Linked DNA regions of Oryzias latipes. The protein of the gene in region 1 binds, or shares a complex with, the protein of each later gene. Links are inferred from orthologs where the notes say so. Each region holds a gene or a part of one and is shown in the gene's direction. Other genes may lie near its edges. The genes, in order: gcc2 and rab6a.

Evidence for each region.
Region 2: the proteins of gcc2 (region 1) and rab6a are in contact, whole or in part, in a crystal structure (PDB 3BBP), measured with the Homo sapiens proteins. The link is inferred for Oryzias latipes from reciprocal best matches to the Homo sapiens genes GCC2 and RAB6A. Residues at the interface, in NP_852118.2 of Homo sapiens: Thr1585, Ile1588, Leu1589, Glu1591, Gln1592, Leu1595, Leu1596, Glu1599, Arg1602; in NP_942599.1 of Homo sapiens: Lys15, Ile46, Gly47, Ile48, Trp67, Arg74, Phe75, Ser77, Leu78, Ser81, Tyr82, Asp85.

The regions. Positions count from the first base shown.
Region 1 is NC_019879.2:17,161,243-17,179,030, reverse strand, and holds the start of gcc2 (GRIP and coiled-coil domain-containing protein 2), read left to right. Parts: upstream 1-6,714; 5' UTR 6,715-7,111; coding exon 7,112-7,117; intron 7,118-7,474; coding exon 7,475-7,537; intron 7,538-7,845; coding exon 7,846-7,930; intron 7,931-8,012; coding exon 8,013-8,095; intron 8,096-8,195; coding exon 8,196-8,300; intron 8,301-8,418; coding exon 8,419-8,923; intron 8,924-9,037; coding exon 9,038-10,899; intron 10,900-11,053; coding exon 11,054-11,114; intron 11,115-11,205; coding exon 11,206-11,306; intron 11,307-11,750; coding exon 11,751-11,849; intron 11,850-12,518; coding exon 12,519-12,638; intron 12,639-13,441; coding exon 13,442-13,606; intron 13,607-13,713; coding exon 13,714-13,818; intron 13,819-15,499; coding exon 15,500-15,662; intron 15,663-16,732; coding exon 16,733-16,833; intron 16,834-16,987; coding exon 16,988-17,065; intron 17,066-17,174; coding exon 17,175-17,312; intron 17,313-17,788. UniProt on the Homo sapiens protein: Golgin which probably tethers transport vesicles to the trans-Golgi network (TGN) and regulates vesicular transport between the endosomes and the Golgi.
Region 2 is NC_019872.2:16,401,655-16,417,652, forward strand, and holds rab6a (ras-related protein Rab-6A), read left to right. Parts: upstream 1-3,265; 5' UTR 3,266-3,513; coding exon 3,514-3,583; intron 3,584-3,842; exon of another isoform or gene 3,843-3,862; intron 3,863-5,170; coding exon 5,171-5,229; intron 5,230-5,329; coding exon 5,330-5,383; intron 5,384-6,000; coding exon 6,001-6,106; intron 6,107-6,216; coding exon 6,217-6,328; intron 6,329-6,543; coding exon 6,544-6,637; intron 6,638-7,061; coding exon of another isoform or gene 7,062-7,155; intron 7,156-8,048; coding exon 8,049-8,115; intron 8,116-9,235; coding exon 9,236-9,300; 3' UTR 9,301-10,713; downstream 10,714-15,998. Other genes in the region: dnajb13 (dnaJ homolog subfamily B member 13), read left to right, coding at 13,413-13,486, 13,587-13,690, 13,893-14,054, 14,145-14,293, 14,580-14,693, 15,672-15,785, 15,861-15,937. UniProt on the Homo sapiens protein: The small GTPases Rab are key regulators of intracellular membrane trafficking, from the formation of transport vesicles to their fusion with membranes.

The DNA.
Region 1 (17,788 bases):
CCTACAAGAAGCATATTATAACTGATGAATTAGATGATATTCATTAACTTCTTTCATTTATTCACCTCTTCTGGCAGCACTCTGAGACTGCTGTAATTCCACTAATGGAGTACTCACCATTAAGGTCCACTTTTTTGACAGTGACTGATGCTGCTGAAATAATAAAAAAAAGCCTGAATGGTTCCCAGCTAATGCTAAAAGCAGAATTAAGTACTGCGACAGGCAGCGTTTGTGACTTTTTGCATTATTATCATTACATGTTTCGCTGAAGCAACAGCTATCTTACAAGAAAACAGAATGATACAAAAAATGTATTTAAAAAAAGTAATAATGGGCATGTATAATTTAACAATACTGCAGAATTTAATTCTTTAAGTGCTATGTCAGACACGGGCATTAGATATACAAATAAAGGCTAAATTTGCAGCCGTGAATGTCTTTCTATAGAAGTACATTTACAAGGTAAATTTCATCATAGACTTATAACCCACAGACTTTTTTTTTCTTGGAGAGACATTGTGGAGTTGCTGAGTTGCCAAACAACATGGGAATTGTGTGCATATGCAGTGCTGGTTCTGTGGTTCTGCAGTGTGCGCTGGATGCTGAGCTGAGGGTTAGCCAGCACTTCCATTAGTTCCTAATTGAAACTGAGCAGTTGTGAGAAATACATTCAATGAGGGTTATGTCTTCCTGAAAACCACCCACACACAACTGCACAACATGCCCAGAGAGGAAAGGCCACATCTCCACTGGAGAGATGATGAATAGCTTGAAACAAAAAAAGGAGACAGAGGGACAGAAAGAAAGAGAAGCAGAGTGTTTCAGTAACACTAAGCAGTAAATCCAGTTGACTCATTGCTCTTAGAGCTGTTGACTATTTGTTTCTAACTTTGCTGCAGCAAAAGAAACCAGATTTTCTCTGCTTTGCACATGCTTTGTTTGTATTTGCATCCGTGTGTTTGTGTTTCTGGCAAAAATGAAAACTCTCTACTCACCCTGGTGTGTGGTTTTCCAACAAAGACCTGGGAGCTTAAGGCTCCTGTCTAAGGTCTGAGGTCTTCCTAGAAATTAGGTGTAGTCACTCCACCAGTTTAGGGGTTACTGCCCCATGTCCACAACGGCTTTCCTCTGTTCTTTATCTTCAACTACCATGTCTGGTTGGTTCATCATTACCATCCTGTCTGTATGTATCTTAAAGTCCCATAAGATCTTTGCTCACTTGTTCTCCACCACTCTTGATAGACAATGAGACCTTAACCTTTGGTCACACTTTCTCATTTAAATGAATGGGAAGGTGTGTCCAAACTTTTTGTCTGTACTGTAAGTCCATATACAATTCCAGCCAATTGGTCCGTGTATGCTTTCTCTGCCAGCATCTTACACCCTGCAGTTATGTGTTGGATTGTCGCAAGTGCCTGCACCTTGAGTCTTGTGTTGTGTGATAGATCTGGGCCTCTGTGGCTCTGTTGCTCAGGGTTTGTCCTGTGCAGCAACTGAGACAGAGCAACTCCTTGTTTTATGCCACATTTGATGGACACTTGTGCAAGAACGTTAGCATTGGCTTAAAAGGGGGTTTTCTACAACCTCATTGAGTTTGCTGAAAAGGCTCTTAGAGTCTGGTCGATTTTGTACAGCTCCTAGTATTCAGTTTTCCACGTGTGTGGTGCTGAGTCATGGGCTATCCTGTAATCAATCCAGGCACTGCAGAGGGTTAGTGTGTCATGACCTTCAGTCTTGAGTGACTATTTTGTTAACTAGGAGTTGGTGTTTGGCTCCCCTAGTATCGCTACCACTACTCTTCAGTGCATTGCTCTTGCATTGATCCATGTGCCTACAATGATGCCTGGGATGAGCTTCCATGTTGTTGGCAGGTAGTTGGACTGAACCCTTTGAGGGATTCTTCTGTATCCTTCTGTTCACTTTTCCATAAGCCATTTTAGAGAGTCCCATCTCTTGTTTATTCATTTCCACCACTCAGTTGTTTCACTTTACGTAACCCTATTTCTTATTGTCACTTAAACACTACAATCATACATATTCATTTTGTTTCAAAAATTCCATTAATAAGGGTTTGTACAGGATTTTGAAAGGTTGGAGTAAGCATGTGTAAGCAAAGAGTTGTGTTAGGAAAAGAGGCTGTAATCAGAGCTCAGCGGGAGCGTAAGTGCAGACGGATGCAGGTTGTTGCCATCTTCCTTGATGAAGTGCTGTTCTCCTGCTGAGCCACCAAACTATTTATACAGCAACATGGACAGCCTGGGGGCAGGAAGGACAAAACTGCAACACTGTCGGTTCCTTCTTCCTGATCACCTTTTTCTCACTTTGCATCCGTTCACAAAAAAACAAAAAAAAACAGGTTTCACATTTGTAGTATGTAAAACAGCATTTGCAATGGAGACATGTAAATATACAGGGCAGCATCACTAACAAGCACTTTTGTCCATTACAAAAGAGGATGACCCTGCGCAGCTGAGACTGACATTCTGTATAAATCTGTTTTTATAAAAGTCTAAACATTCTGAGAGTCGGATCGAAGGTCTGATCAAAGGTCAGCTGTGGAGCGTGCTCCTTAGATCAGACGCCGAGCAGACAGCATGCATCATCAATAATGGACTAGCATCCCTTGGATCACTAGCACACATCTACACACTTACAGAGATGGTAAGGAATAAATGTCGCTTTCACAACATTTGATCTAATCAAAAAATCCATGATTGTACAAATACAGATATGGTCAAAAGGCTTTTGCCCTCAAGTGGTCAATGCAAACATAAAATACAAACTACAAACACACACTTACAGGGACATACAGTACAGACCAAAAGTTTGGACACACCTTCCCATTTATTTGAATGAGAAAGTGTGTCCAAACTTTTGGTCTGTACTGTACATATAATGGACTTTTGTTTGGCTCTCAGCAAAATAAAAACTGATATATTTACACAGAAACACAGGATCCAGTAATCTATCATCTTTTTCCAGTTTATTCTTTTCTATTATAATTGTAAATAATTACATCATTTAATACCATAGGATTATCTCAAAGATACCTTCCAACTATTAAAATTTTGATGTTTTGGCATTTTCAAAAAAATTAAATCAGCATCTTATGTAAAGTTCATATTTAAAACATTTTTATGCATTCATAAGGAAAAGCAAAAATCTTTCTAGATTAATGATTGATGCAATAATGGAGTGCTTTCTCCTGAGACTTTGACATGCAGCCTATACTATTAAGCTGCTACATAAACATAATTAACAGGAGCTCAAACAATACAGTCTTTCATATTCTGGGAATGCAGATCCTGAAGTCAATTATTAGTGACCTCGCGCTCACAGCATCATGTTGTGAGAAGAACAATCTGAGAGGTTCAGTTCCCACATTAATACATGAAAATGTCAAAGCTATATGTTAAAATGTCAGTTTTCTTAATGGCACTGCCACTCTGCAGAAGTAAAATGTCAATAAGGAAAGAAATACAGGAGACATAAAGAGAAGAGTGAAGCCATGTAAATGCTGGGTGAATGGGGATGGGTTGAAATAAAAATGTGAATGAGCACTTTAGCAAAAAAGGCTGCTGAAAAGATATCCTTATAATACTTTACAACTGCAGAAAAATTAATTATCTCACAAATTGCTTATAAGATATACATATTTTTACTGTCAGCATTCAAACCTACCAACATTCCCGCTTAACCTCATCTGTCAGCCTGTCCATCACCACTGCAAACAAAAAAAATCTTGTTGACTTCCATTATTTTATTCCACTTGTTTCTCAATTTATTGTACATGCAAACATTTTTCAAATTACAGAAATGTAATAATTTCTGGTTGTCTGAAGAGGCTGCACAGTTAAACTCCCGTCAAACCGCAGGGGTCAACAACTCAAAACTATCAGTCACCATTCACTGATTGGCTAATAGGGAGAATGTTGGGGAGGGTGGATATAGTAAAGGGTAATGGAACACTTCTGTGTTTGCAATCTATTGATTTTTTATTTTTGTTTTGTTACTGAAGGAGTCAAGAACTTCACGTTCTGATTGAGATCTACAAGAAAATCTTCAAAATTGAAATTTCCCTCTAAACATTTTTTACATCAGCACATCTGATCATACAGTGTATTCATTACACCATCATAAAACATACGTTGGAACAGGCAACACAGACATTTACACAATAATATAAATCATTCATTATATTCAACTCTCATTCTAATACATACAATAATTATTGAGATAAGAGCTGGGAAATAAGATCACCTGAAAAAAGTAGGCTTTTTTTAAGACAAGGAATTTAAAAGCCTACTTGGTTATTGTTTTAATAATGCAATAATCCACACCTGTATCTGTTTAGATATAACTCTGAATAGAATCAAAAATCAAAATTACAAAAAAGAAATTAATCCTCTGAACCTGTTTTATCCCTTTCGGGGTGAAGAGACTGTCAGAGCCTATCCCGGCTACTCATGGGCGAAGGCAGGGGACACCCTGGACAGGTCGCCAGTCTGCCACTGGGCCACAGATCACACACCCATGCACTCTCACATTCAAACTTAGGGACAATTTTAGAGTAACCAATTAACCTATGAAGCATGTTTTTGGACAAAAAATGTTAATTTTCAAGTATTGAATGGAAGAATCAGGAGAAATAATTGGCATTTTGAATCCCTAACATCATCTAGGTTAGGAAGTGTACATCTGCCAGTGGGAAACATCAGAAGAGCACCTGATACACTTTTTGTGTTTGTGGGGTTTATGTCAATAAATGGAATGTCTTATGCTCCATGTTCTATTTAGTATGTGGCAAATGCCAAAACAAAGCTACCAAAGCAAAATCAGAAAGAGAATCTAAAAATACCAGGAGTAAAACAGCATCTGTTGCTCCTCCAGATAGACTGAGCCGGTTCATTCATTACTCCCTTAACGCCGGCCGGTGTCAGTTATATTACTGCAGAGCTGTGCTTGACTGACGGCCACAAGTGGGGGGAGAGAAATCACTGCACAATGCTGGTGGATGCACTAAAAGAAAACAAGGAAGCAGCCATTGATGGATGGGTATGTTTGACCCAGGCAGGGTGGAAGGCAGCAATGGGTCTCTTCCAGATGAGACAGGGAGTCGACAGAGTCTCTGCCCCTCTGATCAGACCGTGCCAGCTTTGTCAGCATGAGCGGCATCTTGCTCAGTTCTCCCAGTTGGTGCCTCCATCAGTTGTGTCAAAACAGGCGATCTCCATATTCAACAGATGGAACTGGACCTTATGTGATAGGAATACAGAGCCTCCACTGACTTTCTGACAACCCTGTTGTCAGAGTGATGAAACAATGTCAACATCAGACACCTTTAGTATATTTTATGCATCATGGATTGCCATAGACAGATTCTAAACCCTTATTTCAGGGTTTAGAATCTCTCAAATGAGAGAATATTTTTTGCAACCATCTTTTTAATACTAGATGTGAACTATAGGAGTGTATGCGTGAATTTTGGTGCCTTGAATAAAAACAGATTTCGTTTTTTATTATTATACAGTAAATCTGCTGAACACATCAGAGCTGACTTGATTTCATGCTCCAACACGATGAAAAGAACTGTTTTTCTATTCAGTTGAAATAATTTGAATAATGATTCAAAAAACTTTTTTTTAATGTGCACAGTGTGTAAAAAAATACTGTAATAAATGTGCATTTTGATGTACATTATATGGGGGGGGGGGGGGGGGGGGGGCGTGATGCAGTGTTAGGACCTCGGATTGGAAGATTGCAGGTTTTATTCACGCTTTTCCCACCTATGTGTCGAAGTGTCCTTGGGCAATACACTGAACCCCACCTTGCCTCTGGTGGGAGGTTGGCGTCAGTGTTTGGCAGCAGAGCCGCCATCAGTGTGTGAATGTGTGTGTGTGAATGTGAATGTGTGTGTGAATGAATGGGTGAATGGGCCTGTGACTGTAAAGCGCTTTGGGCCTTCGAAGAAGGTAGAAAAGCGCTATATAAGTGTACGCCGTTTACCATTTACATAGTATAATTTACCACAGAAAAACTTAGGGAATTTGTTTTGACCACACGTTTCCAATTTTTTTTTCTAATTTTTTCCATTTTTATGAATGAAAGAATACTATATAAATTAATATGGTGCAAAAACACAATATAACTCAAAAATACGTTTGAGTCAAAGTTATTCGAAATTACTCAACAAGATGAAAACATAACAACAATAACTACAACAACCATAACAATAATAATAATAACAATATAATAATAAACTTATAATAAATCTTAGTATACACACACAAAACCAACAACAAACATTAAAAACAAAAATAAACAATTAAAGAGCAAAGTTTGGATTTATGTAAATTGAACCTCATAGCCCTAAACATTTTGATAACTTTTTAAGGTTTTATGTTGAGCAAAGAGGAGATTGTTTTCAAACATAGCTGAAGTTCCATATGATTTTAAGTGAGTATGTTAATGTTCAGGCTTTTTGTTAGCAAATTTACTTTTGTGAATATCAAATGTTGCCATAAATAAAAATACACAAAAGTATAAAACGTCACGATCCTTTTCAAACAAAATTAGGAAAACCAAAAAAACGACATTTGTATTATAAAGTTGAAATTCAGCAAAGAATGAAATGTTTCGAAGTTCCTTTTTTTTTGGCGAATACAAAAGAGAATACTACAATTTGAAAGGAAGCAAAAAGAAAAGGAAAATTCTTGTCAGTATGTATACATAAACCTATTTATATTCATAATCATAGAGAAATCAGGGAAAAGTATAACATAGGAAAACAACAATTTCAGAGTTGGATAGTGTTATAAAATGCAGGGGGATACACAATATAAATAAACTGTCTTAGACATCGGGAATTGGTTCGAGGTTCCTACCTCGAAATGTGAATAATTCTGACGTCACTTGCTTGGCTGACGATTGCGGAAGTAAAGTGCTGCTCCAGTCTGCTATTTCAGAATCATAACAGTGGAAGTACCTCTGACTTATATAGTTGGAGTATTAGAAGTATTTTTAGGTGTTTATTTGGTTTTCTTTAGCCATCTACTAGTTACCTCTGCGTGTGACGGAAAACGGTGACGGAGATAAAGAGTCCACTGTCAGGATGGAGGTAAATGTTTATGTCGAGCTGTTAGCTGTTAGCTAATCAGCTCTTCTCAGTTTAGCAATCTCAAAGTTAGTTCCGTGTCCTTCTTAAGTCATATAAACCGAGTAATGGTCACGTTGAAAGTGATCAGAGTTGTATTTTATCACATTAATGAAACGTAGTATTTATATTCGAGGAAATAGTAAGTAGCTTCAGGGTTTGGTGAGCATTTTTTCTGTTTTTCGACGAACTTTACTTATTTCTTCCCACTCCCCCCCAAAAAGGGGTTAAAAATCCAAACTATCAAATAAAAACAACTTTTGTTTGAGATTTTTTCCAAAATGTCAACACATTGAATGGTTTTTCGTCATGCATTTAAAGGAACCTGGAGGTACTGCAGCTGAGGCTGTGACTCCATCATCAGCAGGTGCATCAAAATCAAAGGTAAGGATGTTCAGCAAATACACTCCCGTTTTTGCTCAACTGAAACTTACTTATAATTCTCTGTTTATGTGTTAGCTTTGTTAATATTCACTGTGTGCATGTTGATGACGTTATATTGAGACTGTCCACATGTGTGCACATCACATTTTGGGTTTTTAGTACCACAGTAGTTGATTCTGCTTAACTGGGGCTATATGACTATGTGTGTAGAAGGTTAGCTCAAACATTTTCTTGGGTCTTGAAAAGTAAAAATTATTGCTTTGATATTGATATTTCTTTTATTTATTTATTTTATTGTTCATTCACAGCTGGACACGCTGTCCAAAGATGACCTCATCAAATATGCCAAAAAGCAAATAGCTGCCATGCAAAAGATGAAGAGCAAATGTTCAGGTAGCTATGAATGTTGTACATTATTATTTATCTGTCCGTCATAAATGCAGTCGTTTTCTTGAATGTGACTTTGCCCTTGCAGATTTAGAAAAGGAAGTGGAATCCCTCAAACAACAGCAATCTAAAAGCGGTGACGGCAATCCAGATGACGCTGCTTTGTTTCAGGTTTGTGTCTAGAAAGTGACTGCATTGTCTGTTATTGATACCCCTCTGTCAAAAAAATTTTACTTTCACACTTAATTGTGTGGATGGGTGTGCGATATAGGAGCTGACTGAGAGGATGGATGCCTTATTACTGGAGAAGGCCGAAACTCAGCAAAATGTTACACTCCTGCGTAAAGAACTGGAGAAGACTAAACAGCAAGCTAAGGTTATCTTCACTACAGATACACAGAATGACAGTTTTATCAAATTCTAATGGATTACCTGTCTGTTTGTAAGTGTGATTAGTTGCAATGCCAAATACGCATGTTTGTAATTTTGTGCAGGAGGATTTAGCGGCTCTTCAAAGTGAGCATGAGCGTGTCATGGAAGACCTTCAAAGGATGATCAAGAACATGGAAAGCAGCATTCAGGAAGCCAACCGTAAACACCTGGAAGAGGTGTCTCATTTCCAAAATTTATTAATAGAGCGAGAAGAGAGAGACAGGGAGAGGGAGAGTGAAAGAGAAAAACAGCGGCAGGCGGATTATGCCATTGAAAAAGAGAGGGCAGAAGAAAGACGGCGGGACTTAGAAGTTCAGCTGGAAAGACTCAAAGCTGAGCTGGAGGATATCCAAGAAAAACATTCTCTAGAGCTTTCCAAGATTCAGGAGAACTACCAAAGGGGCTTTACAGAGGCCCAGCAGGAGGTGGAGAACCTGAAGGAGGAGCTGTCACAGAAAAGTCTGCACCATGAAGAGGAAATGAGAACTCTGGAGGAGGACTTTGAGCTTGAGCGGGAGCGTCTCTTGTTGCTCAACGAGGAGCTCACGGAGCAGCTTGCTCTTAAAGGTACAGCAGCCCCCTAATTCCATGTTTCATCAACTTTTCCAACTTACTTGTAAATAATGAAAAAAACCTAGTCCAATGAACATGAATTCAATCCTTTTTCTTGGTTGTTTTCAGACAGCTACCTGCAGGACGTTCAGGAGGAGGATGAGGAACCTCCCCGTGGTTCGGGAATAGCACAAATGCTGGAACTGTCAAGGAAAACCCAGGCAGACTGCTCTGGCGATGGGGAGGACTCTGAGAGCAGCAGGCTGGCAGCAGCTCTGGAGGATCTTCAAGCTCAGAACACCATGTTACAGGATGAGCTCACGCTGCTCAGCAACCTGAAAGGCGAGCTTGAAGCAGAGCTGGAACGAGCTAAGGAAGAGTTCCAAACGGAAAGGGAAGAGCTGGAGTTCAAGATCAACGAGCTGCAGCTGATTAAGGACAGTCCATCCACTGAACCTAGAATGATTCTAGATGCTCACTATCAACATGAAGAATTGAAAGAGTCGACAGTTAGCTTAGCACAAGACCAAAGCTCCCTGAAACTTGAGGAGCAGCAAAATCTGAGCCTGGAAGTAAGAACCCAGTGCGAGGCCTTGATCAGAGAGCGAGACTCTGCTTTGACTGAGTGCCAACACATGAGGAACATTCTTCAAAGCACTGAAGCGGAGCTCAGTGAGAAGACTAAAGATTTTGTTCTACAATATCAAGCTATGAAAGAACAGGGAGCTAGTACAGTCCAAGAACTTCGAGATACCATTGAAAAGCTCAGTCAAGAGAGAGATGACGTTTTGGGCAAAATGAATGAAGTTATAGAGGAGAAAAATGCTCTGATGAAGGATGTACAAGACCTTAGGCAGAAGCTGGAATGTCCACCCTTTGAAAACCAAGAAATGCAGTCATCTGAGGAGGAGCAAACTCCTTTAGCCTGCAAATCCAAACCATCGGTGGAGGACTTCACCCAGCAGAATGAGCAGATCCGCTCCCAACTGGAAGAGCAGGAGAACATGATTCAACATTTAAAGGATTCTGTCGCCACGCTGAAAGAGGAGCGAGACAAAATACAGAACTTGCTAAATCTCAAAGAGGATGAAATGCGGAACCTCAACGAAGAGCAAACAAAAGCAATGGAAAAGCTGGAGCAGGAAAAAGCTAAAGAGGTTCTGATGCTCAGAGAGGAAAAAGAGAATGAGCTGAAAAGCTTGAAAGCAGAAACCCAAGAGAAAGTGAAACAACTAGAGGAAGAACGAGAAAAAGTAAAAGAAAGCCTGAAAGAAAAGCTGGTGAATAAAGAGATGTTCTTTAAGTTAGAAGCAGCAATCAAAGAAATGTCTGATGAGAAGGATAATCTCCATCAAAGGTTGGAAGACATTTTAGTGGAACTTTCCAATGCTCAAAAAGAGAAGGACGTTTTGGGCTCCAAGGTGTTAGCTCTGGAAGTTCAGCTTAAGCAGGAAGCATCTGTAAAACAAGAGCTAGAAGAAAAGTTGAAATTAGCGACAGAAGATGCAGCACGAAGCTACGCATCCATGCAGGCGCTGGAGGAAAAGCAGTCTCAAATACTCCAAAACTCCACTGATGAAGTCGAAGAGCTGCGAGCACGTGTTGGTGAGCTGGAGCAAGAGAGGAACCTGTTGAAGAGCAGTCTAGAGGAAGCTCAGAATGAATGTAAAGCTGAGGAGATGCAGACGGATCTACAGACGCACATTAGAGACCTGGAGAAGGAGAGAGACATGCTGAAAGGGAACCTAGAGGAGGTGGTTCATGACATGGAGGGGCTCCAGAGAGACCTTCAGGAGATGAAATCGCTCAATGAAACCGTTTTTGATGAGAACCAGACCTTACAGGCTCAGGTCTCTCAGCTGAATGAAGCAAAGGTGGAGATGGAGAAAAGGATGGAGAACTTGGAGAAAGAGAGCAAAGAGCTCAGAGATCAGCTAACAGAGAAGGAGTCGCTCATATCTCAGCAGAGGGGGGAGGTGGCTGCTCTTCAGGTGGGTGTGGCTGTTTTCTCATGTTGGAGTGGCATTAGGCTTTTCCACAGCATGATTTCCCCTTTCTTCAACATATTATATAATCAGATCAATAAGTCCAAAGGTTTTTAATTTTTTTTTTTTTTTTTTTCAATTTACCCTCTAACTTTTAAAGGAATCTGCTGTCCAGTCTGCTTCCTCTGAGGAAAATACATCTGAGATGACAGACAGGCTAGGTGTTTTGATATTCGATGTATTATTGCACTGCTATATGTGGGATTACATGTATAGATTCATGACTTTTTCCATTCTTTTTTTTCCCCTCAGCTTTGCTACAAAAAGAAATCAAGGAAAAGGGTGAGAAGATGAATAAAATCAAGGCAGTTGCTCTCAAAGCAAAGAAAGAGTTGGACATCCATAAGAAAGAGGTAGTGTGAAAAATCCACTCCATAATGAGGCTAATTTTTTAGTGCTTTGAAGATTCAAGAACCAGTAACAAAATTTAGTTTGAATTAAAGAGACGCCTTTGTTTTGGATCAGTAGTAATTTAGAAATAGTGGAAGCCATGAAAAACTACCAGTACATTACATTTTATTTTTTTAAGGAACTGGTATTTAAAAATAAAACCCTAAAAATTCTGAGATTAAAGACACTTTAAGAAAAAGTGAAATTCCCTGTTTCCTGGTAGATATGTTTATAATATTACCTTATTGCTCTTATCTTTTCCCAAAGGGAATATACTCGCATCTTTTTAGTTTTTTTGGTTTTCTTTCATCCTTATGTCAGTCGTTTCTTTCTTTTGTCTGTAAAGACCAAACTTTGAATAATCACTTAAGGGTAGATTCCACAAACTAAACTCCTTTTTGTTGCAGGTTTTGAGTCTTAAAGAGGAAGTGGAGTCACTGAAAGCAGAAAGGGAGAAAGTAAACAGTTCAATGAAGGATATCATCCACAGTGCTGAAGGCTACAAGGTAAGAAACCTGAAGTCTAAGACAAACAGCTTTAGATCTATTCCACGATAGTAAAGAGGCCTAAATACAGAACAAGATGTTTTTCTTTTTAAACCCTAAAAGTGATATTGATTTAGGAATTTGTAAATAGTAATAATAATAAATCCTAATCAATTTGTCTAAAGAAACATTTAGATTTATTCTTTATATTGTGGATTTTTAATTAATAAAAAAAAGAATTTGGAAATGTGAAATAGATAAAAGTAACTGCATGTTTTCCAGCTGACTCTCCAGCACTGTACCTCCAACTCATCCTCGTCTTGTATTCTCTTTCTGTCATGGATGGATCCTGGTGTCTTTCTGTTTTAGAGTCTCCAAATTAAAAGCATAGTTTAACTTCACTTAAAATTAAACCGTTCGAATTTATTAAATTAATTACAACAAGTGAAAGCACGCTCCATTTAAGCAGACTTGGTGTGCAGTATTTACTCCCAGTGGACTATAAACAGCTCCATGCTTTACAGCTGTGACTCCATTAAAGCAGAAACCATTCTCTTGTGTCTAATGACTTTTGGCCCATCTTGGAACATGGATGCAGCTTGAAAAACTGAGATGCAGTGTTTACCTTCAGTGAACTGTTCCGCCTGTAATGAATAATAAAGGGACGTGCGGCTCCGCGTCTTTGCTTAGAATCTGCAAATAGATTATGACAAACGAATGGAGCAACTGGATCTGCAGAGGGAGAAGGTGGAGGCAGCGGAGAGACAGATTGCTGAGCTGACCAAACAACTCAGCAGTGCTGTCACACAGGTAACTGGGATGCGCACTCAATCACACGCACACACGTTGCTACTAACCAATACATACGATGCTCCAAGCCTCCAGTAAATCTATGCGCAGAGGCTTTGATAGGTCTCAGCGATATTTATGCTGTTGCTGGCTTTCCAAATGATTTACAGGGGGTCATTTTAGCCGGCAACATTTTTCCGAGATATGTCTGACAGCCCGGCGCTCACAAATAGCCCATCAGATGTGACTGGGTGAGCAAGGGAGAAATTGTTTTTATATATACTCCTTTCCCCCTAAGCCCATAACTGTCTCTTTCCAATGAGAGAGCAGGCGGGTAAATGTAGCGGGCTATAGCTCCCATCTGCTGCGTGGTGGTGCAACACCATTCTCTGAGACAAAGCTTTATTCTCATATGCACTCAAGGTTCTCTGGGGGGTGCGGAGGGATGCAAACTGATGCTGCTTAGGAAACTCGGAGTCTCTGTTTACCGATCATGATTTTCAGAGTTTGGCTGGCAGCCGATTGGAGATGAAGCTGGCTGCTCAGTGTTGCTTTCAGAGAAAACCCTCAGAGCCTCTCTGCTGTCAGATCCACTTGGATGGCTTTGAGCGGTGTCACGTCTGTTCGTGCAGGTTTCAGATGTTTAAAGTCTATGGAGAAAACCTTGGACAAAAGGGAGACAGAGCCTTTTTCTTTTTTTTCATTCAGTTTGAGATTTAAATACAATACATTCATTAGATCACCTACTGAATGTTTGCTTCAATTCACAACAAAATCTTGATTAGTTCATGGGACAGTGATGAGTCGTATCTTCACTGTTGTAGAGGGAAGCACTAAGCAGTGAAAAGGAGGACTTGAATGCCGGTTTGGAGACGGCGAGGAGCACAGTGAGGCAGCTGGAGACCAAAAACCAGGAGCTGCAGAAACAGATAGCAAGTCTGGACAGAGATCTGTTGGCTGAGAGAGCAATGAAAGAGCAAAAGCTTAAGGTAGAGGTTTGCTTAACATTTTTGGCAGAATTACACAGCATGTTTTTAGGGGAGCCTTTGTAAAATCCAATGCGGCTTCATCAAGAGGAATTTCCTCATTTCTCCAGGACTTGGCAGCTGCCACAAAGGAGGTGGAAGAACTGACAGCAAAGCTCCGCAAGCAACAGGAGCAGTCTCAGCAGACTGCCCAGGAGCTGGAGCAACTGCGCAAGGTATGCGCGCACAAAAGCCTCTCAGGCTGGAGTGTGTGCCACAGGTCCTGCCCGGTCAAGCGGCTGAGCCGGTGATGGCTGGCCTGGAGCTGGAGTAGGACCCCACTGACAGAGATAGAGCAATTGTAGCCCACAGTGAAGGAGTCTCTGCTGCTTTCACGTTAATGGAGACCTACATAGTACAGCAGTATACATGGAAGCTGCCTGCAGGCTGGACATTATTTTGTGTCCATTTTTCTTATGCTAGCAAAGGAATCTGAGGCTGATTTCATTGTTTATAGATAAGCAATAGTATATATTTGAGAGTATTTTTTGTTTGTTTCAAAAAGAAAAAAGAAAAGCAAACACGAAAAATCTAGGCGTTACTGTAATTTTTGCATTGAGTAATGAAAATCATTTTAGTTATTTGCTAATTTTTATTTTTTTAGGTTTAAAAAAATAAAAAAGTGTCTGTAAATGCACCTGTTTAACAAGAATGTTTTTTTTTGCCTTCAATTCTGTAATGCCTGAGAAAACAGTCTGTCTGCTCTCTGACTCTTTTCAGGCCTGTTTTTAAAGCTCTTTATTACGGTGGCCCTGAAGTTCAAATCACATCGAGACATAGCTGAAGGCAAAAACATATTAAAAATCTCAATGACAAGTAAACAATAAAAGCAAAACAAATTGTAAAAAAACTACATTGCATTTTAGAAATCAAGCATAAATCCCAAAAAACAAAACACAACCAAAAAAGGAAACAAAATAAAAACATTTTGGTAAACAAAAGGAATTTTCATAAATAAAAAGAAACAAAATAAAAACTTTGAACATGTAGGTGCTAAGGGACATCACTGATTGGATGGTTTCAGCTTTAACTTCAACCGGAAGTTATTTGGTACGAAGCGCCTGAAACCACAAATATGAATGTTACTGGTGACTTAAACAAAGAGCAGCTAACCCTAATCTACAACCACAGCAAAAGTTAGTGATCGCTCAATCAACCACAGTTTGGGCAGACAATCTTTCTGCCCAAACCGCCCCTCTTCTTAAAAACTCAAGTGTCATCATCAAATCAGTGATGTAACATAGTTCCTACCTTTTCCAGTTTCTTATTCTGTTTTATTTTTTAACATTTTCTTTTATTTCTGACTGTTTCTTTTGCTCTCCGATTTTATTTTATTTTTTTTACATTTTGGTTTTTAGAATTTTGTTTTGATTTCTAAAATGTGGTGTTTTTTTATTGTTATATTTTTAATGACATTATGATCTTTAATATGTTTTTGTGTTGAGAGATTTATTGATGTGATTTGTTACTAAGAGCCACCGTTCCTTATTCCACACAGGACAACAGTGCTTTTATTAGAATCCAGAAAGATATCCACATCCTCTCTATTTTGGATGTTTTAGTAAGTGCATGTGTGTTTGATGCAGCAGCTTTGTTTCCATTCCTTTGATGAGCAACAGGAGTCATTTATTGAAGACAGAGAATAGAAAAAAGCTCTGGAACATCCACAGAAACACATAGACCACGTACAGCAAACATAAAGGCCAAATTTATAAATCGTTTTAAGGATTTGTATTACTGGAAGATGTTAAAATCCTTTGACAAAGGTGAATGAAATGTGAAGTTGAGGGCATTTCTGTTTCTTTGCGACTGGAGTTTCTGTTGGGTTTTTGGACTTGATGTTGAATGTTCTTCCAGGAGGCCCAGCAGAACTCCCTGATGGACATGGAGATGGCTGATTATGAGCGTTTGGTGAAGGAACTCAATGGCAAAAATGCAGACAAAGACGAGCAGATTAAGGACTTAAAAGCCCAGATAAACACTCTCTCCCAGAAGCAGGAGGCGTTCAAGAAAGAAATAGGTAGGGATCACTTTTGAAACGTTTCTGTTTCATTGAAGTCTCATTTGTTTTCATTTTTCACCAAAAATAGTAGCTCTACACAATGTTTATATGTCTGTGTTCTGATGTGCCAGCTTTAATACATTTGTTTTTGGATCACTACAGGATTCCACTTTTTTCAAATATCAGCACTTTAGTTAAATTTAAAATTTGTTAACAATTACTCAGTTTGGATTCCAGAAAGTTATCACCAAATTATTTAGGTTGTGTTGAATTTGCATCTTTAATTACTATTCTAGGAAATGAAAACATTAAAATGGCAAAACATTTCATCAAAAATGATTGTTTTCCATAAACTGATTTTGCAGCAATCAGATAATTGTTCATTTGAAGACAGAAAATTGAAAAAAGGCAAATTAGCATATTGATAATTAATAAGTGTCGATAATGAGAGGATCCACATGTAATTAAGCATTATTGTCAGAAAACCTGTTCTCTCTACAAAGAACATAACACAACTAAACACTGTTGTCAATCCTATTCTCAGTGAAAACGGAACACACATGTACAAATTAACATTCAAATCAACAGATTGTCTTTGGACAAAACAAGAACAGAATAGAGATCATTGTTCTTAGTATTTAGTATTTGTTAAGCAAAACAGATTTTTTTTAAAAGTCTTAGGACTGAGATCTGAATAGCACGGTGGTGGAAGGGGAGGATTTAGACTTAATCACAAAACTGTTTGGATGCCAAGTTACTTCACAGACAAACTTGAAGCCACTGACTGTTTAAGCTTGAATTAAGCAATACACAGAAGGAATAGCTTAAAAAGATGTTGCAGTGTGATTGTGTCTATTTTGTGGTCATGGTGCCAGTTCAGGAAAGATCAGAGGATATGAACAGGAAAAGGAATTGACTGCAGTTTGCTTTGAAGTGTGTCACGGAGAGACTGACGAGGGAAATTCAAATATCAGCATTTTCCAAACGTGGTTTCTATGCATTAAAGTCATTCCAAGCAGTGCAAATGTATCTTGTGTTTGTCATGACTGTACTTGCGCTTATGCCCATTTATACATATGTGTCTCCAGAGACTCTGAAGTCCCAGGTGGACCATGAAGAGGAGAAGTGCTCTAAGATGAAACAGCTGCTGGTAAAAACTAAGAAGGACTTGGCTGACGCCAAGAAACAGGTTTGTTTGTCTGGAAGGATGACCTTTTTTCTGTGCTAGACTCCATTTTTAACACTGTCGGCTGTTTCTGTGATGTCACTAGTGTTTTGGTGGCTTTAGTTTAGAGTGTGTTTTTTTTTTTTATGTTTGCATTTCTGTATGCTCACATGTGCAGGAGAGCTCCCTCATGATGCAGCAGGCGTCTCTGAAAGGAGAACTGGAGGCAAACCAGCAGCAGTTTGAGAGCTCCAAGGTTTCAGAATCATCTCACTCTCCTTTCTGTCTTTACAATAAATAAATGGATAAATGAGAATTTAGTTTCAAAACATGAATGAAAATATAGATGTTTTTTTTTTTTCCAGATTGAGATTTGTGAGCTGACAGCTGAGCGCCATCATCTGCAGGAGCAGCTGAGGTCAGCGCTGGAGCAGCAGCAAAGAACCAGCAACTCCTTACAGCAACGCATACACAGTCTGCAGCAGGACAGAGACGCTGCCAAGGTCCACACGCTCACTTATCTGCTTTTCAACTACACATGAAGTACAGTATAACAGCTCTACTGATGAACGTAAGGTTTCCTCCAACAGCAGTTATTTGTTGGAGATACTTGTCACTAGAGGGCTGCACCGACTCTGCTCATTAGAGAGCATTGATAAATGAGGCTGTGACTAATGACTCTTTTTATTATTAATCTCTCAATTATTCTTGATTTATTCTCAAATCTTTATCAATTCATCAGCGTTCTAGAACTACCTATGTCATTTTTAAGCTTCTAAGTCGACAGCAGCTATTAGCTACGCTAGGAGCTGGAACAAGTAGGGTTTTTTAAACAAAACGTTTTTTTTTTTAAAAATAAAAGGATCACAATTGAAATAAACCATCTTTATTTATAATTGCCTGTTTGAAAGATTAAAAACATTAAAACCATTCAAAAAATATACATTTCTTTTTTAGTAGTAAGAGTTTCCCAAGGATT
Region 2 (15,998 bases), on another chromosome or scaffold:
CGAGGCTCTTCTCCACCTGTCCTTGCATTGTATGCATTTGCCTTTCCTGCAACCTTGCCTCCTTAACATAAACACACATCACATGCAGCTGATTCTCCTTGGCTCATCTTGGCAATCGGCACTGTAAACACACACTCACACACACACACTCACTCCTTCCCTCAAAGACAGCTCTGAATCCCACTCTCACTCTTCCAGCCGAGGACAGCAGATCCACACCAGCACACAAAGCTCCTGCCTGCTAAATGTCATTTCATGACTGGAGGAATGGTCGCTCCCATAGCTCTGAGCTCTACACAGACCCATAAAAACCCGCGCACACACACAGAGTCACACACACACTGCCACACAGACCATCAGTGATAAATCAGCTGCCTTGCTGCATCCAGTCAAGCTGAACCGCAGCAGCTAGCTGCAGACCCGTTGTCCCTTGTTGTCCCCCTGGCTAATTTCAGCACAGTCCAGTGCCCAGAGTCATGTCTGCTGCAGGCAACAGGGAAGAAAAGGCGTCCTGTAAAAAATGTTTCTGGTCTCCATCATTTTGTGTCTCCTTGCCCCCTTCCCCCTTGCTCTCTATCCACCTTCACTCACTTCCTCTTTCTCTTCTTTTGTTCTGTGTTGATCTCAGTCCTTCCAACTAGCTCTGTGTCAGTGATCGGTCCCCATCTCTGCTCAGTGCTCTCCTCTCTATCTCTGAGCTTCTTTCTTGTTCGTTGCTCTGTCTCTGTCACTCTCCGTGAGCATGCAACACCCCCCCTCTCCTCCTCTTCTTTTCATAGATCTGCTCCCTCTCATACCTCCCGTTCCCTCCATGCTTCCCCGCCTCCTCTGGTAAATTTGCTTGGATTGCTATCCGGGTTGGTGGTTCACTTATGCTTGCAAGAATGCCTCCCACTGCTGTGCATGTCTCTGATGCTGCTCAGAATATACAGGTTGCAGATCATACTGTTCCCTCTGCCCTGCCTTCCCTGCAGTCCTTTGTACTGGTGCGAGAAATGGGCTGCACTTTAAATGCTCCCATTTTTTTATGTCCCACAACATCAAACAAGTGAATCCAGGAGGTGGATTGAATATTTGTCACTCTAGCATTTTACACTTATTTAGCTGACATTTCAATTTACCCCTTTTTTTCCTGACCCAATGCCTTTGCCCTTCCTGTTTTTCCTGTCTTGTCCTTTCTTCATGTCCTCCACACATCCTACAGTAATCCTTCATTCTCTCCCTGTCCCAAGAGAAATGAGCACTGTGTTGTACTTTACTGTGACATTGAAAGCTGCAGTCATTACACTTACATGAAGGTGGATCGGAAAAGTGATGATCGCCCTGCACTAAGCCCACAGATGCAGGGAGATGGATCCAATTAAATTAACCTGCTCACATCTAGCAGATAAACACTTTTTATCTTCCTAAAAAGAAAAACAAAAAGCCAAACAAGAGAATCCTACATTCAAAACGAAGAACTCCATGGAGTCATTTCCAATCTGTGAGTCATAACAGGTCTTTCCCATCTCAACGACTCAAAATTTGCCGAAGTAAATGATGCACTGACAAAGCATGTGACCAACACACCAGCATGAAGTCATAGCTGGAAGTGGTTCATTATTCAATTCATTATTGCTGCCCCTCTGTTCAATTGTGCGACTTTCAATTACAATTACAACTTTTTCTAATTTATTCTGCAGAATTAGATGTTCTTGCTATGCTTTGAAATAGTGGGACCACCTTCCCATTATCAATACATAACTGTTAACGTAAAAAAAAATGCACAAAAAAATTCCCCCTCACATGTGGAAGACAGGGAAAGAGCAGGACATGCTGTGGGGAGACAAATAGATTTTGTCGTTTCAGCATCTTCTGAGGGAATGGGAGGAGGTCTTTCCCCTCACCAAGGACATTAGCGGTACAAGGGCTAAAAGAAGAGAAGACGGGCAAGCTAGTGAACCATGATGGCTCCACTTCAGCTCCGCTTTTGGTCACAAACCTTGCAGCTGAAGTGCCAGCATCAGCTGATAAATGCTGTAAGAGGAGCTGGACGACACAAGAATGAAAGAGGGGCGCAGGTGTGTGCATTCTCTTAACTGACCTAGAACAGCTGAGGTAGGCAGAAATGTGCAGACTGTACTGTAGTAAAACACTACACATGTATTTATGTAAATTATATCTCAAACAATTTTGTATTGCTGCAAAAATTTGGGTTGTATAAAAATAATACAAAATATCAAATTAGGAGAATTTGCAATTAGCCTCATTGCATTAAAGTTATACTCAAATGAGGTTAGACCCAAGGAAACAACAACAATTATATTATACATTAGTTGTAATTACAAATATTACACAGTATGTTGTGTGAATAATCACGATTGTTCAAAGTCTGGACAATAAAGAATCATGCATGTCAAAATTTCATCCCTGGTAAAAAATTCCCATTTTATGTCATTATGATACCAAATGAAACATTAACATTTGTAAAAAGAGTACAAGATTTGATGACTATAAGCTGGTTGGAGAAAAGGATGTTCCACAAAAGCATTACAAATGTCAAAAGCCCTCGGTAATCAGAGCATTTTAACAACCAGGAATTTTTGAAAGCAAAAATGTGGAACATATTACAACAGATGTAAAAATCAGAAATTTTCTCAATAAAAGCTTTGACTTTTTTCATACAACTACATGCCATTTTTTTCTAAGCTACTTTTAACAAAAAAATGTTATATTAGATTTATCATAATTCTTTCATCTGGTAAACATAGCAGAACTTCAGCTGTGTACCTGAATAGTCCCCCATGAGACCCCCTTTATAATGACAAAATTTATAACTATTTCTACTATCTCTGCATCAAAACCCAAAATTTTCTGACTTAAAATTTACAAACAATCAATTAAGTCTATACACACTGTTATGTATTTAATAGAGCTCATGCAAGAATTTGGGTTTAATACCTAATATAAATAATTTAGGTTAAAATTTCATTATTGGTATAACTTTTATTCATGGGAAATCAGACGGATTTTAAAAAAAGGAGTCCTGAAAATAGAACATGTGAAATGAATAATAATAATAATAATAATAATAATAATAATAATAATAATAATAATAATAATAATAATAATAATAATAATAATAATAATAATAATGTGGTGTTAGCGCGCCCTCGTATGGAAACATGAAGTAATAAAAAATAGTATGGCATTTTTTTCCCTCCCATCCTTGCTGGTTGAGCACCAGCAGAGGGCGTGGTAGCACTGTTACACACGTATCATACACTGATGTGTCTACAGAAGAAGTGTCTGGAGGGGCTTGCTGGTAGCCATGACAGTCTGAAGTAATGCTCAGTTGGCAGTAATAGTTACCGACTTATCTGAAAGTGTGTTGGAGCTTAAAGGAGTTGTCATTGATTACCAAACTTTGTTTCTGAACTTTACGTATACCATACACTTGATAACAGACAATAGCTACTTAGTTAGAATTAATACTTAAGGGCGCCTTCTGGGTTCGTTTTTGGTTCCGTCGACATGTCTGGGGCCGGAGACTTCGGGAACCCTTTAAGGAAATTTAAACTGGTCTTCCTCGGGGAACAAAGTGGTAAGTTTTTCTCGTTACGGTTCCCTTTACGAGGAATGTATGTTATCAATATTATTGTGATAAACTTTCCTTTTGAAAACCAGAGTTTAACGGGATGCCTGGTTTTTCTTCCGCTTTGTAGTTAGCTAGCTAACATTAGCTGCGTTTACTTGAAACCGGATAAAAACACTGCTGATCATGCTGCCTGTAGTGTGGACGCGGACTCCGAGGATAATCACAGATCATTCTTCACGTTTTGATCATGTAATTCATTGTGTTTGCTGACTTGTCTTTTCACTGGTAAGATGTAACATGTTAAGAGTGGAAAGTTGTAAATTATTAAGAAGTAGTAGACAGTATATTATTTATTATGAGGCTGTTTCTTAACCTAGCAAATAATAGGCTAACTTACATGATGTATTTTTATTAAGATAAAGTGTTGTCCTAATCAATTTGTTTATTTTATTTATTTATGGTATGTTACCCTTCTAAATTCCTATAGTCCGCGTGAGCACAGGAAGATAACTCACTCTACCATACTCGCAAGAGTTTCCTTAAAAGCACACAGTAAGGATCCTAGATCCTTCCTCCGTTCAGCAACCTCCTGGTGGGTTTAGAATGTTTTCATTTGAACATTAAGTATTTGAAGGACCTATAATATTTATATCTAATGTTTTTATAATGGGATTTCTCCTAAGTGATTACTTCCAGGATTAGAACCAACAACCGTCTTACAGTCACAAACCATCACACATTTAATTTGTTTATATTTATTTTAGACTTTATTTATCTACAAATGTACAATTTATCTACATGCATACATGTTTTGCATTCAGAACATTTTCTGCCTAAGTGTTAGACTCAGAGCTTTCAGTAAGATAGTTATGATCACGTCCATATATCCGCTTTCATAAACCTGCTGGGAATTGAGTAACATAATAGAAATGTGGAGTAATACAGAGTAGAAGTGTTTCATCCTACGGAACGAGTCATCCAAAAAAAGCCGATAGTTATCGTCTGTGACCTCTGTGAACAGTCATGTTGGCCTGAGCCATGTCACTGTCCCCCTTGTCGCTCATTGAAACTGATAACGTAACTCGAGTAATAAACAGTCTTAGGACAGGAAGGATTGCCTAACATGGATATCCACTTCAATTGATTATTTTTTTAAAGAAATGTCATAAAGTCTGAACAGGTGATCATTAACATACTGTTTTTTATTTAGGATATGCCATGTTTGGGTCAATCTAGGCCACAATATTTAGAAATTCACACACAAAAAAATCCTGTTTTGAATACCTAGACCCCAGTCCTTTCTTCCGACTGTTCCTCAACCCTCCATTTTAAAATAATGTCATTCCATATCTTAAAAAACTGGACTATATGGATGCATTCTCTAAACACTTATCGTAGTTATCATATAGGGGTTATTTCTACACCCATTTGTTGATTCGACGTAATAAAATGTAAATCCGTTACTTGATAAAACCTGTGTTCCTTTCTTAAAAAAATCTACATTTTGTGCTCAATATTAAACAAAAAAATTAAATCAATGCATATAGATATTGAAAAGTTCAATTTTTCCCTTAATCTTTATTTCTGTTTTAGTGGGAAAGACTTCGTTGATTACCAGGTTCATGTATGACAGCTTTGACAACACATACCAAGTAAGACTGCCTGTTTTCCTAAGCATTAATGTACCTTGTATTTTGTCGTGTTAATTTAAAGCAATTATAGCTGTATAATGAAGTTCTTTTTCTCTTTCAGGCCACAATAGGAATAGATTTCCTATCAAAAACCATGTACCTTGAAGACAGAACAGTAAGTTTTGTGTGTTTCCTATCCTAACTTGTAAATCCTGTTTGTTGTTTTGATTGGCGTGGGTTTTGTGTGAAGGCCATGCAAAGCCGAATCACCTCACACGGTCGGTGAGCTTTTGTACAACTGATCTGACTGGTTAAGCGCCTGACTTTTTAAGTGTTCACTTCAAAAAGCACATGTAGAACATTGTAGTGTCCTGTTGTACCGTCGGGACAGGCCTCACTGTATTCTTTTTCCCTCAACTGAAGTTTTCTTCCTCTCCTTTCCTTTCCATCATCTATTAATCATCACATTTCTTTTAAATGAAACACCTTACTTGGTCAATAGAGGGGGTGACAAATGAAAGGTGACTGTTTATTTCTTTCCCCCCCAGGCCCAGACAGCTTACTCTCTCTGATGGTCATTCCCAACATGCACGTGTTACTTCTTTTCTATTCACTTTCTGTTTTTTCTTTTTTTTTTCTCCATTAGTCTGAAAGAATTTTCTTTCAATATTCGTTTTGGCCGCGTTGACTGGGTCCTTTATCTGTTTGTTTTCATCTTGATTTTGTGTTTTATTTCTTTTTTATTTTTTTCTTCTCTTTCATTTTTCATTTCATCCTCTTCCTGCCCCACAGATCAGGTTGCAGCTGTGGGACACAGCAGGACAAGAGCGCTTTCGCAGCCTCATCCCAAGTTATATTAGAGACTCTGCTGCCGCTGTTGTTGTGTACGACATCACGAGTGAGTGATTTAGCATCACTAGACTGATGGGACTTCTGTGCTGCGATCCAGCAGCTTTCACAGCTAAGCTACCTCACTGAATTTGGGATGAACTTTTGTCTCTCTGTCAGACGTTAACTCTTTCCAGCAAACCACAAAATGGATTGATGACGTTAGAACAGAGAGAGGAAGTGATGTCATCATCATGTTGGTGGGAAACAAGACAGACCTGGCTGACAAAAGGTAATTTCTTGCATCTTCTGTGCAGGCTTTCCCTTTTGAAGTCACATTTCGACTGATGACCCTGTTTTTCTGTGTTCTTCAGGATAACCAAAGCTATTGTTTATTTGACATTTTCCATGATTGCAAATGTTTACAATGATGCATTTGATTGACTTGTTAAGCGACGCTGTGTTTTGTCTAGTTGTGTATCTTTTCAACACCTTTATCTACCACAGGCAAGTTTCTATTGAAGAGGGCGAACGGAAAGCCAAAGAACTAAATGTAATGTTTATTGAGACTAGTGCGAAAGCGGGCTACAACGTAAAGCAGGTAAAGTTGTGTGTCAGTCGTGCTCTGTAGTCCTGCTGCCGATGCTGCCCTGGGCTTCAACTCCAGAAGCCTCAAATATCTCTAATAATCTGTGATCGCTGACATGATGACAGATCATTAGTGATTAAGCATTGACTACAAATCTGATTATTTCTAAAAATGTGATGGCATCGTTTGGTTAGAGAATCTAAATCTTGTCTTAAATGCATCTCTAGTGCTGGCTGTGGACTCATGAGGCTTCTGGTCTTCTGGTCTGGTGGCAGTAGCAGCGCAGCAGGAAGGGGCACGGCTTTCCAGTGTACTGTCAAATAATTATAGACTGTGCTGTTCTTTTGTTTTTCTCCTGTCTGCGTGTTGATGTGTGCGTCGGTGTGTGCGTCTCCCGGTTGTTTTGCGGGTGCTCTGTGATTGTGGCTGGTCACAGACAGATAACCACAGAGGAAGGAGAACAGAGAGCAAAAGAGATGAATGTTCTGTTTATTGAAACAAGTGCAAAGACAGGCTACAATGTCAAACAGGTAGAGGCTGTGCACCTTCATGTGTGCATGTGTTCATTGCACTCCTGCCTTTTTTTCTGATTGGCTTCTATTTTCCACAACATGTGCTCTGAACATCAGCTTGCAATGAGGTGCATGGACTGGCTTTGCAAATTCTCTCTATGTATTGGGCAACTTTTTATTTGTAAAATTTAAAATTGAGTGAGAGTTTGTAAACCACCAATAGACAACAATATTCAGTCGGTGCTGCAGCAGAATCTCCATGCAGACAAGATTCACTTGATGCAATCTTTTGATTGATGTGCATGATCGGGATTAAAAAACTTTTCAGTGGCGGATACTAATATTAATGAAACCTTAAAGTTGATGTTTGGCAAGAACTAAATAATAATAATTATTAAAAGGAAAAAATGTCAGTAAAGGATTTGAAGCCTTTAACATGATTGCACCAAACAGCATTGTAAAGATTAATGATTATTCGCCTTTAAAAATGTAATTAATAGCTTAAAACAACTAGACTGTAAATGGTCATTAGAAAACTGTTTTATTTAATTAGAGTGTTTACTGAAGCAGAACACATGTGCATGAAATTACACCAATCTGAGTCAAGAGTCTTTGTCCCAAGCAGAAAACTGAAGCCAAAAGTCATTAATAAAATAGTATTTGTTTATATCCAAACTCGGTTAGTATTTTCAACAAAAATAATTTGCCTTTTTGTCAAAGGCACATGAGTCTTTTCAGTAAATCAGACTATGACATTTGGGAAACCTTTAGGTGTCTTCCACTGTGCAAGTTTCTGCAGGACCTCTGAAAAATCAGATGCATGCAAATCTGCATTTCTTCTTTTACAGATGTCTTGTATTAAACATCTGTCTTTGACTCAAGACATTAATGGTAGATTCTATCCTCTGCAGCTTTTCCGCCGTGTGGCAGCCGCCCTCCCTGGCATGGATACCTCACAAGACAAGAGTCGAGAGGACAGTATCCTTTCTTTGCATGGCAGTGCCATGATCTGACATGAGTCTGGAGTTCACCTTGCTCTGTTTTGTCTTTCTTGTCATTAGGGCTGCACGATATGAGGAAAACTCGCGATATGCGATATTGGTGATTAATATTGCGATAACGATATAATTTGCAGTATATAAACAAATATCAAACCAACCAAAAACATCATTTCCATTTCAATGCAACAGTATAAAAATTATACTCCAAATGACCCTTGTCGACATAAGAGGCAAACATCAAACATAAAAGGGCTCATCTGATTGATCAACAACGTAAACAGGTCCTTCCGATTGGTTAAATGCGTAAAGGGATTTATTTCATTTATTCAATATTCCAAGCTGCCATGAGTTTGTTTTAGCTCATTTAACCCTTGTCCTATCTTAGATGACCCCACCCTTACATTGAGGTGTTCTCCCTACCATGACAAAGGTGGATAAAGGTGGAAAGATTTCATGTAATCCATGGACACCAGTGAAGATCACAAATCATTGAAGAAAAAAGGTTCAGAGCACTGTCTAGTGCAGAGGTGGGCACTGAGGGCCGCATTCCTGCATGTTTTCCAGCATACCCTGCTCTGGCATGTTCTAATTGGCTGGACACACCTGAACCAGGTAATCAGCCATGAGTAGGGAAAGGCTATCTTGAAATCATGCAGACACACCGGCCCTCGAGGCCTGGAATTGCCCACCCCTGGTCTAGTGGGTCTAGATGACCCAACTCCCAATGTTAAAGTGCCTAGGATAGCACAAGGGTCAAGGTAACCATTTATTGCGATTTTCAGCGTCTTTTGCGGTATGCATATTGCATAGCTTGATGTCGCGATAACGATAAATTTGCGGTATATTGTGCAGGCCTACTTGTCATCTGATATAATGTCACACGTGTCCACTGCCAGGGGGAAAGCCCTATTGCTGCACTTTAACATCTCACTTTTTAACTCTTGTGTCACTTAAAATGATTTTCTCCTGAGATCATGAATGATAGAAATCTGACTTTACAGACCCACACTGGATTAAGGTTATCGTACCATTGTTAGTCCAAATAGCCAATGCATTTTATTTGCTCTCTGGTGTTCCTTAACTCTGTGACCTTCCAGTGATTGACATAAAACTGGAGAAACCTCCAGAGCAGCCTGCCAGTGAAGGAAGCTGTTCCTGCTAATGGTTTCGCCTATATTAGTGGCTTTTTCGGAAAGCTATTTCTTCTCTTTTTCTTTCATTTTTTGTTTTGTTTTGTTTTTATAAATATATATGCACCCTTCTATATCCACTGCAAGAACACTACATCTGCTGTCCTCATTGTTGTGAACACGTGCTCTCATCCACAGACTCTAAAATGTACATATCACTAAAAATTTAGTATTTGCACTGCATGAATTGGACAGAAGAGTTTATACAGTTAAAATGAGTCTTTCTGCTGACACTCTGTTTAATCGTTTTTAAAGAGCAAATAGTGATTTAAGAGCAGTGAGCCAGTTTGGGGTATTTTTTGAAAAAAAATAAAGGAAATTGTCTTCTGCAAGTCATCAAATCAAGGTATTTCATAGTGAAAAATGTTCTTTGACATTTTTCATGTTTTGAAGTCATGTGGTTTGAGTTGATTTATTCCATGCAAAATCTGTTACCTTTTACCGGTATATATTATCATTGATAAACATAAACATCAGCACATTTAAATGAGTTAAATGAACATCTATTGGGTTTGAGTTCAGACACGCTTCCTGCATAATTATGGTGCTCTCACAGTCATAAACAGTAATCAGCGCTTTAGGTCAAGACCCAGGTTAGTTGTTGTAAAAGGATTTTTTTTCTCTCACTATTTGCAAATTCACACTGACAAGAAAAACCCCATTACCTTCTGACATGAGCACGCCAAGGTATCTCTCCCATTTACCGTCCTTCTCTTCATCTTAATGACCCATCAAATGGTTTTTTACCTTTTGCTTTCATTTTATTATGGTTAATCTTTGCTTTTTGCATAAACCCTTTCTTTTTAAAGATTATAATTGCGGTGTCATAGATGATTATTTAATAGTGTTTAAGGCGGGCATTTTCTCAACACCCACCTTAAACAGGATAGATATGCAGATTTATGCCTTTCAGAGTATAAGTACGGAGGACTTCTATGGCTTTGGGTTGGAGTAGATGAGTTTGGTAAGAACATTTTTAAAGCTTTGATTTTTTTTGGGGGGGGGGGTAATTTTTACTTTGAGCATTGATCTGTTGTTAGGGATTGATCAACATGTATTTAATTCATAGTGACTTGAAATATTTATTCTGTTGGATTCATGCTTCTTTTATATGACTGTTAATATCTTCACTTTTGGTAAAAAAAAGTCCCTAAGTCGTTAATAAAAATATGCATCTCTCTGGACTTTTTTTTTAACTGAATTTGACCATCTGCTGTCCCGTCTGCTACTATTTGGTGGTATCTTGATTATACTGACAATATTGTGCAATTTTTGTGTAAACTTATGAACGAAAGTACAATTTGTATAATATGGGTGTCCTTAACGTTTCTGTATGGAATGATTTTTCAAATGACAGAATAAATATACAATTTTGGTCACCATGACTAGAGTTCATGAGTATCATTCCCACAGCTGTAAGTCACATGCAATAAGGAAAATTGAATATTAACGGGACATTTCTAAGATTTTATTTTTAGGTAAAAAGGAAAGTGTCTTGTTAAAATCCATATTTTATAATTTCATTCACTGAAAATCACAAAAAAATAACTTGAAAATGTTCACTGACGAGGATAATCCCTTTAAAAAAGAAAAGCCCAAACTTATAAATGTTGACATGGCACAAAATGTAAATGCATCTGATGAATATCCAGGACATATTGTCTTTAGGTGATTGTTTAATTTTAAAATCAGTTATATGATGTTAGCATGCTGACCACTCCATCATTGCTGTGGTTTGTTTAACCTTTATTAGTTTAGTAATTTCTTAATGGAACTGGACCATTACTTAGTTCAAGACCCTCCCAGATCCTGCAGGTCCACTGGTGGTCCAAAAGGTCAGAACTAAAACCCAATGGCGAGGCCACATTCCAGCACTGTGTAACAGCTTGTTGGAGGATGTTATGGCTTCCTCCACTGTGGAGGTTTTAATGAAAAACTCGTTGTTTAGCTAGCATTTTAAGTAGTTTTTACATGTCTTCGTGTTTTTTATTTGATTAAGGGTCTCTTTGTCTCTACTGTTTGTGTGTGTTATTATTTTGAAATACTATTTTAGTTTATTTATGTCAAGACCAGTAGCGGTTCTAGGCACGGGCCGTCCGGGCGGTGGCCTGGGGCGGAAAACTGAAGGGGGGCGGCACCGGCGGCTCAGCCCTTGTAAAATATTATATGCACCACTATTGGTTTACTTATGTCACAGTTTGTGAGTTTGTAACAGCCTGAACCTGGCCGCGCCGCCGCCCTCGCCCCGCAGCTGTGCGCTCTCCTGTCTTTGAGAAGTAGACACAAATGTGTGTGAAGAAGAAGGGAGGGGGCGCGGGGGGAGCACGGAGCGCCACCGCGTTTGCGCATGCGCAAAACCTGGCGGGCTCATCTTTCAGGGGAGGCGACGGTCGCGGGCTTGATGAAAAAAATAAAAGTAAAAACTGCGACTGCGCCGTCATGTAGCGAATCAGCGCCCCTGGCTATAGCTGCACGCGCTCCTGCTGGAAATGTGTGAAGAAAGGGGGGGGGGGGGGGCTGCGGGGAATCAGTTCAATTGTGGGACGCTTCCAAATTAAGTGGCTAGGTGGGGACAAGGGCGGGGGTTTGAATCTACTTCATAAAACCTTTTTATAAGTCAGTCATAAGGTGACATTCTATAACCTACACTTTAATAAAGGTATAGAAAATATATTCTGCTTTTTTTGGGTTAATTTTGTGTTAAATGCCCAAATGAAAAAATGGCAACACAAAACAATGCTGTCACTAAGGTGACAGTTGGTTCAGTCGACGGACTTGATGTCTTCTTCGTGACGTGAGGACATTTATGCCAAACAAACGCCAAAAACATCTAAAATATGGAGAAAAAAAGGTCAAAGCCATCTGGTGCCCAATTTAGAAAGAAAAGAAAAGAAGAAGAGGAGAAAAGAGATAAAGAAAAGGGTAAGTCCTCACAGCTTGATGCATGTCTTTTCTAAATTCTAATGCTACCTGCCCTACAACAATGTTGCCGATGAAAACTTTATTTTGGTCGATGACCAACACTGAAGTAGGCCCAAATGTTGCAAATAGCGTCATTTTTTTTTTTTTTTTAGATTTTATTCTTAAAAATTTGCTCTGCCTTAACTTGTAACATTAGTTATGATTCATGTGTCTGTCTGCTCTGCTGTAACACAAAGGTTTTGTTGGGTTTTGCTGTTGTATACTAGTTCATAATGTTAAAAAAGCTGTGATGGTTACACAGCATGCTGCTGCTGCCATAAGATGCTAATGGGGCAAATAATTTGAGATTGGTCTTAAATTTAATAATCGTTTGTGGCAGCCTAAACGTTTTCCCAATGTTTTTTTGACATTTAACTGGGGATTTAGGGGTTAATTTTGAGCCTGCATATGAAGTTTATTTTTTATTTGTTTTACAAATGTGGGATTATATTTTTAGCCAATAGAATTTCCATAAATCTGAAGGTAGTTTTAAAAATGAATATTTACCATTTACTGCAAATCTATGGGGACAAAACATAATTCAACAGGTCATAACTGAAAATTTTCCAATCAAAGGATTGAAGACGGAAAATATGAGCTAATTTTTCTTCTCTGAAGTAGAGATCGATATAGAACATGACAATTTAAATTTCCAATTCATAAATGTTTTTAAAATATTTATTTTATATTATTTATTTAATATTGATTTAATATTTCTTAGCTAACTGTATTTTTGCCATGCTTATGGTCTTTTATTTTTTGTGTTCTGATAACTATTATAATGCTGTTCAGAATTCTGACATCTTTTGTATCCACTTCTTAATTTCAATGACAATATAACATGTCAGTTGACAAAGACAAACAAAGTTCTGTTGTGACTATGGGGGGGGGGGGGGGGGGGGGGGGCCGGGGGAGGGTCTCGCCCGGGGAGTAATTCAGGGTAGAACCGCCACTGGTCAAGACAGTTGAATATACCAGCAAATTCAGATTCATTTTAAATCTCGCGAGAGGTCCGATCAGTGGTTGCCAAGGCAGCGAACCCAAACGTACGGACTTCTCTTCGGATTGTCTAAAAAAAACTCGTCGAGAACATATAGGTTTTTGCCGTCAGGGTTTTATCGTAATGAGCCTGAACAACGCTTACTATGAGGCTCTTGAAATTAACAGGACAGCATCTGACGCTGAAATCAAAAAAGCGTGAGTTACTTTTAAAGAAATCAATCACCTGCTGCTAGCTCTGTCTTCTATTTGCTGCTTGCTTGTTTTGGATCAAGTCATGAAATTATTATCTGCGCAGGTATCGACGTTTGGCTGTGAAGTTTCATCCGAAAAGAAACGCTGAAGCTGGAAGCGCAGAGAAGTATTCCCTGCTGGGTGAAGCCTACGATGTCCTGAGCGACCGTAAGACTTCACGGTTCACGTTCTTTACCGGGCTGCTCCGTCGCTCACGTGACCTTTTAAAAATATTGTTATGACAAAAATGCTGCATTTAGCATTCAGTTCTTCAGAGCTTTGCAGGAATTTAAGAATAGCATAAAATAATCTCTAAATAAATGTAAAAGTACTTACGAAGAAGTAATTTTTTTTCCCTTTTTAATTAAAGCTCGTAAGAAGGCAATCTATGATAAATTTGGTGAGGAGGGCCTGAAAGCTGGCATCCCACCTGAGTTTGGCAGTGATGGGGCTTGGTCATCCAAATACACCTACCATGGAAATCCAGACAAAACATTTAGACAGTTTTTTGGAGGTGACAACCCATTTGCAGGTAAGAATAGCCCAAACAAAAACCCCACGTTGTATAAATACTGTCTTGAAAACCTATCCATTGCAATTACTAATGTTAATCTTTTGCTAGATTTTTTCACCAAAGATGCACCACTTCAGTTTGGTGTGCCGCAAACAAAACTGGAGAAGACGCAGGACCCCCCAATAGAGAGAGAGCTTTATTTGACTCTTGAGGATCTCTTCTTGGGATGCACCAAAAAAATCAAGATATCACGCAGGGTAAGATCTGCTGCATTCAAAACCCTAACCCTAACCCGGAGAAAGCAAAGAAAGTTAAACAACTTTGGTATATGGCAAAACCTTGAAAAATTTTACTTAAAAAAATCTCTGGGACAAACGAAGCCACACTTTCCACATGTTTAAGGCTTTTATTTTGAAAAATGATTTCACAGGTAATTTTTATTCTAACACTAACAACTTTTGTGGAAGTCATTTTCATTATTTAATAAAACAGTTACAATAGTTTTGTTCATTAAGGTTTTCCTCATCCTCACTTTCTTTACAGGTTCTGAATGATGATGGACACACATCCTGTATCAAAGATAAGATTCTGACTGTAGATGTGAAGCCAGGATGGCGCGAAGGCACAAGAGTCGTTTTCCCAAAAGAGGGAGATCAAGTAAATTCAGTCTTTAAGAAACTTTTTATTATGTATCAAAACTCACGTGAAACTAATTTATATTATTTTTTCTTGGTGTCAGCTTATGTCATAATAATATGATCCTATTGGTGTTTGTTACAATAACTCCCATAACCCCGCAAAACGTCCTAATATTAATCAATCAATCCATCTATATATCTTGCTTAAAATTGAAATTGCTTTAATAAGGAGTGTGTTGTAACCATTTTTATTTTTATTTCTTGAAAATTAGCTACTACTTACAAATTTTTGGGTAGTTTTCTTTCAATTAATTCGTTTACTTTATATAAAATTTTAGTTGATTTTCTATATAAAATAGTCAATCATATTTGTGTTTTTATTGGTTTGTTTTATTGTTTTCAAACAATTTGTGAAATTCACCAAATGTGTGTGAGAGTTCCTGGTGAAAATGGGATAAAATTACTAATAATGAAAATGAGGATGATAATTGTTTAAATGAAAGAGATTAACTATTTTAAGAAGGTAAATTCTACTCGATGTTATAAAGAAATTACCCTTGGTTATAAGCAACATTCACTGGTTGACTTATCAGTCAATATTACATTTAAATAGTTTCACATTATAAAATGAATTATGATTAGTATTGATGAATATCATATGACGAAGAAGCATTAAAAACTTGTAAAATTCCTTTCCTGTGACCTTCTCTTTGCTCATTTTAAATCACCGGCATTCTGTTTGTGTATTTTGTTTTCTATTAATACTAGTAGTTTTAGTAATGAAAAGGCACAGTTTTGTAAGTCTCTACAGCATTGTTTTTCTGAATTCTTATAGGATCCTCTTTTATTAATTAAATTGTTTTATTTTTTGCTTTTTTTAGTTAAAAAAAAAAGTAAAAGCCGTGTATAGGTTGATTTTCCCGAAGTATTTCGATTTTCTAATATGATTGCCTTTTATGCCCATATTGTTTATTTATGTTTATCAAACCTTTTTTAGGGACCAGACAGGACTCCAGCAGATGTAGTGCTAATAGTGCGACATAAAAGTCACCCTCTGTTTATCAGACAACACAACGACCTTATTTACAAGCTCAAGATCTCTCTGATGAATGTAAGTAATGTAATGGCGTTGTAACTGTTTGTTTTCATCTGAAGCTAAGACTGATGATGATTCTTATCTGAACAGGCACTGACCGACTTCTCTGTGGACATCCCAACACTAGATGGCAGGCTACTCAGCATTCCTATCAATGACATTGTGCAGTAAGTGCTTTTGCGTGCTGCAAGTGAAAAATTTACTATGAGCTCTGCATAATGCAGTACT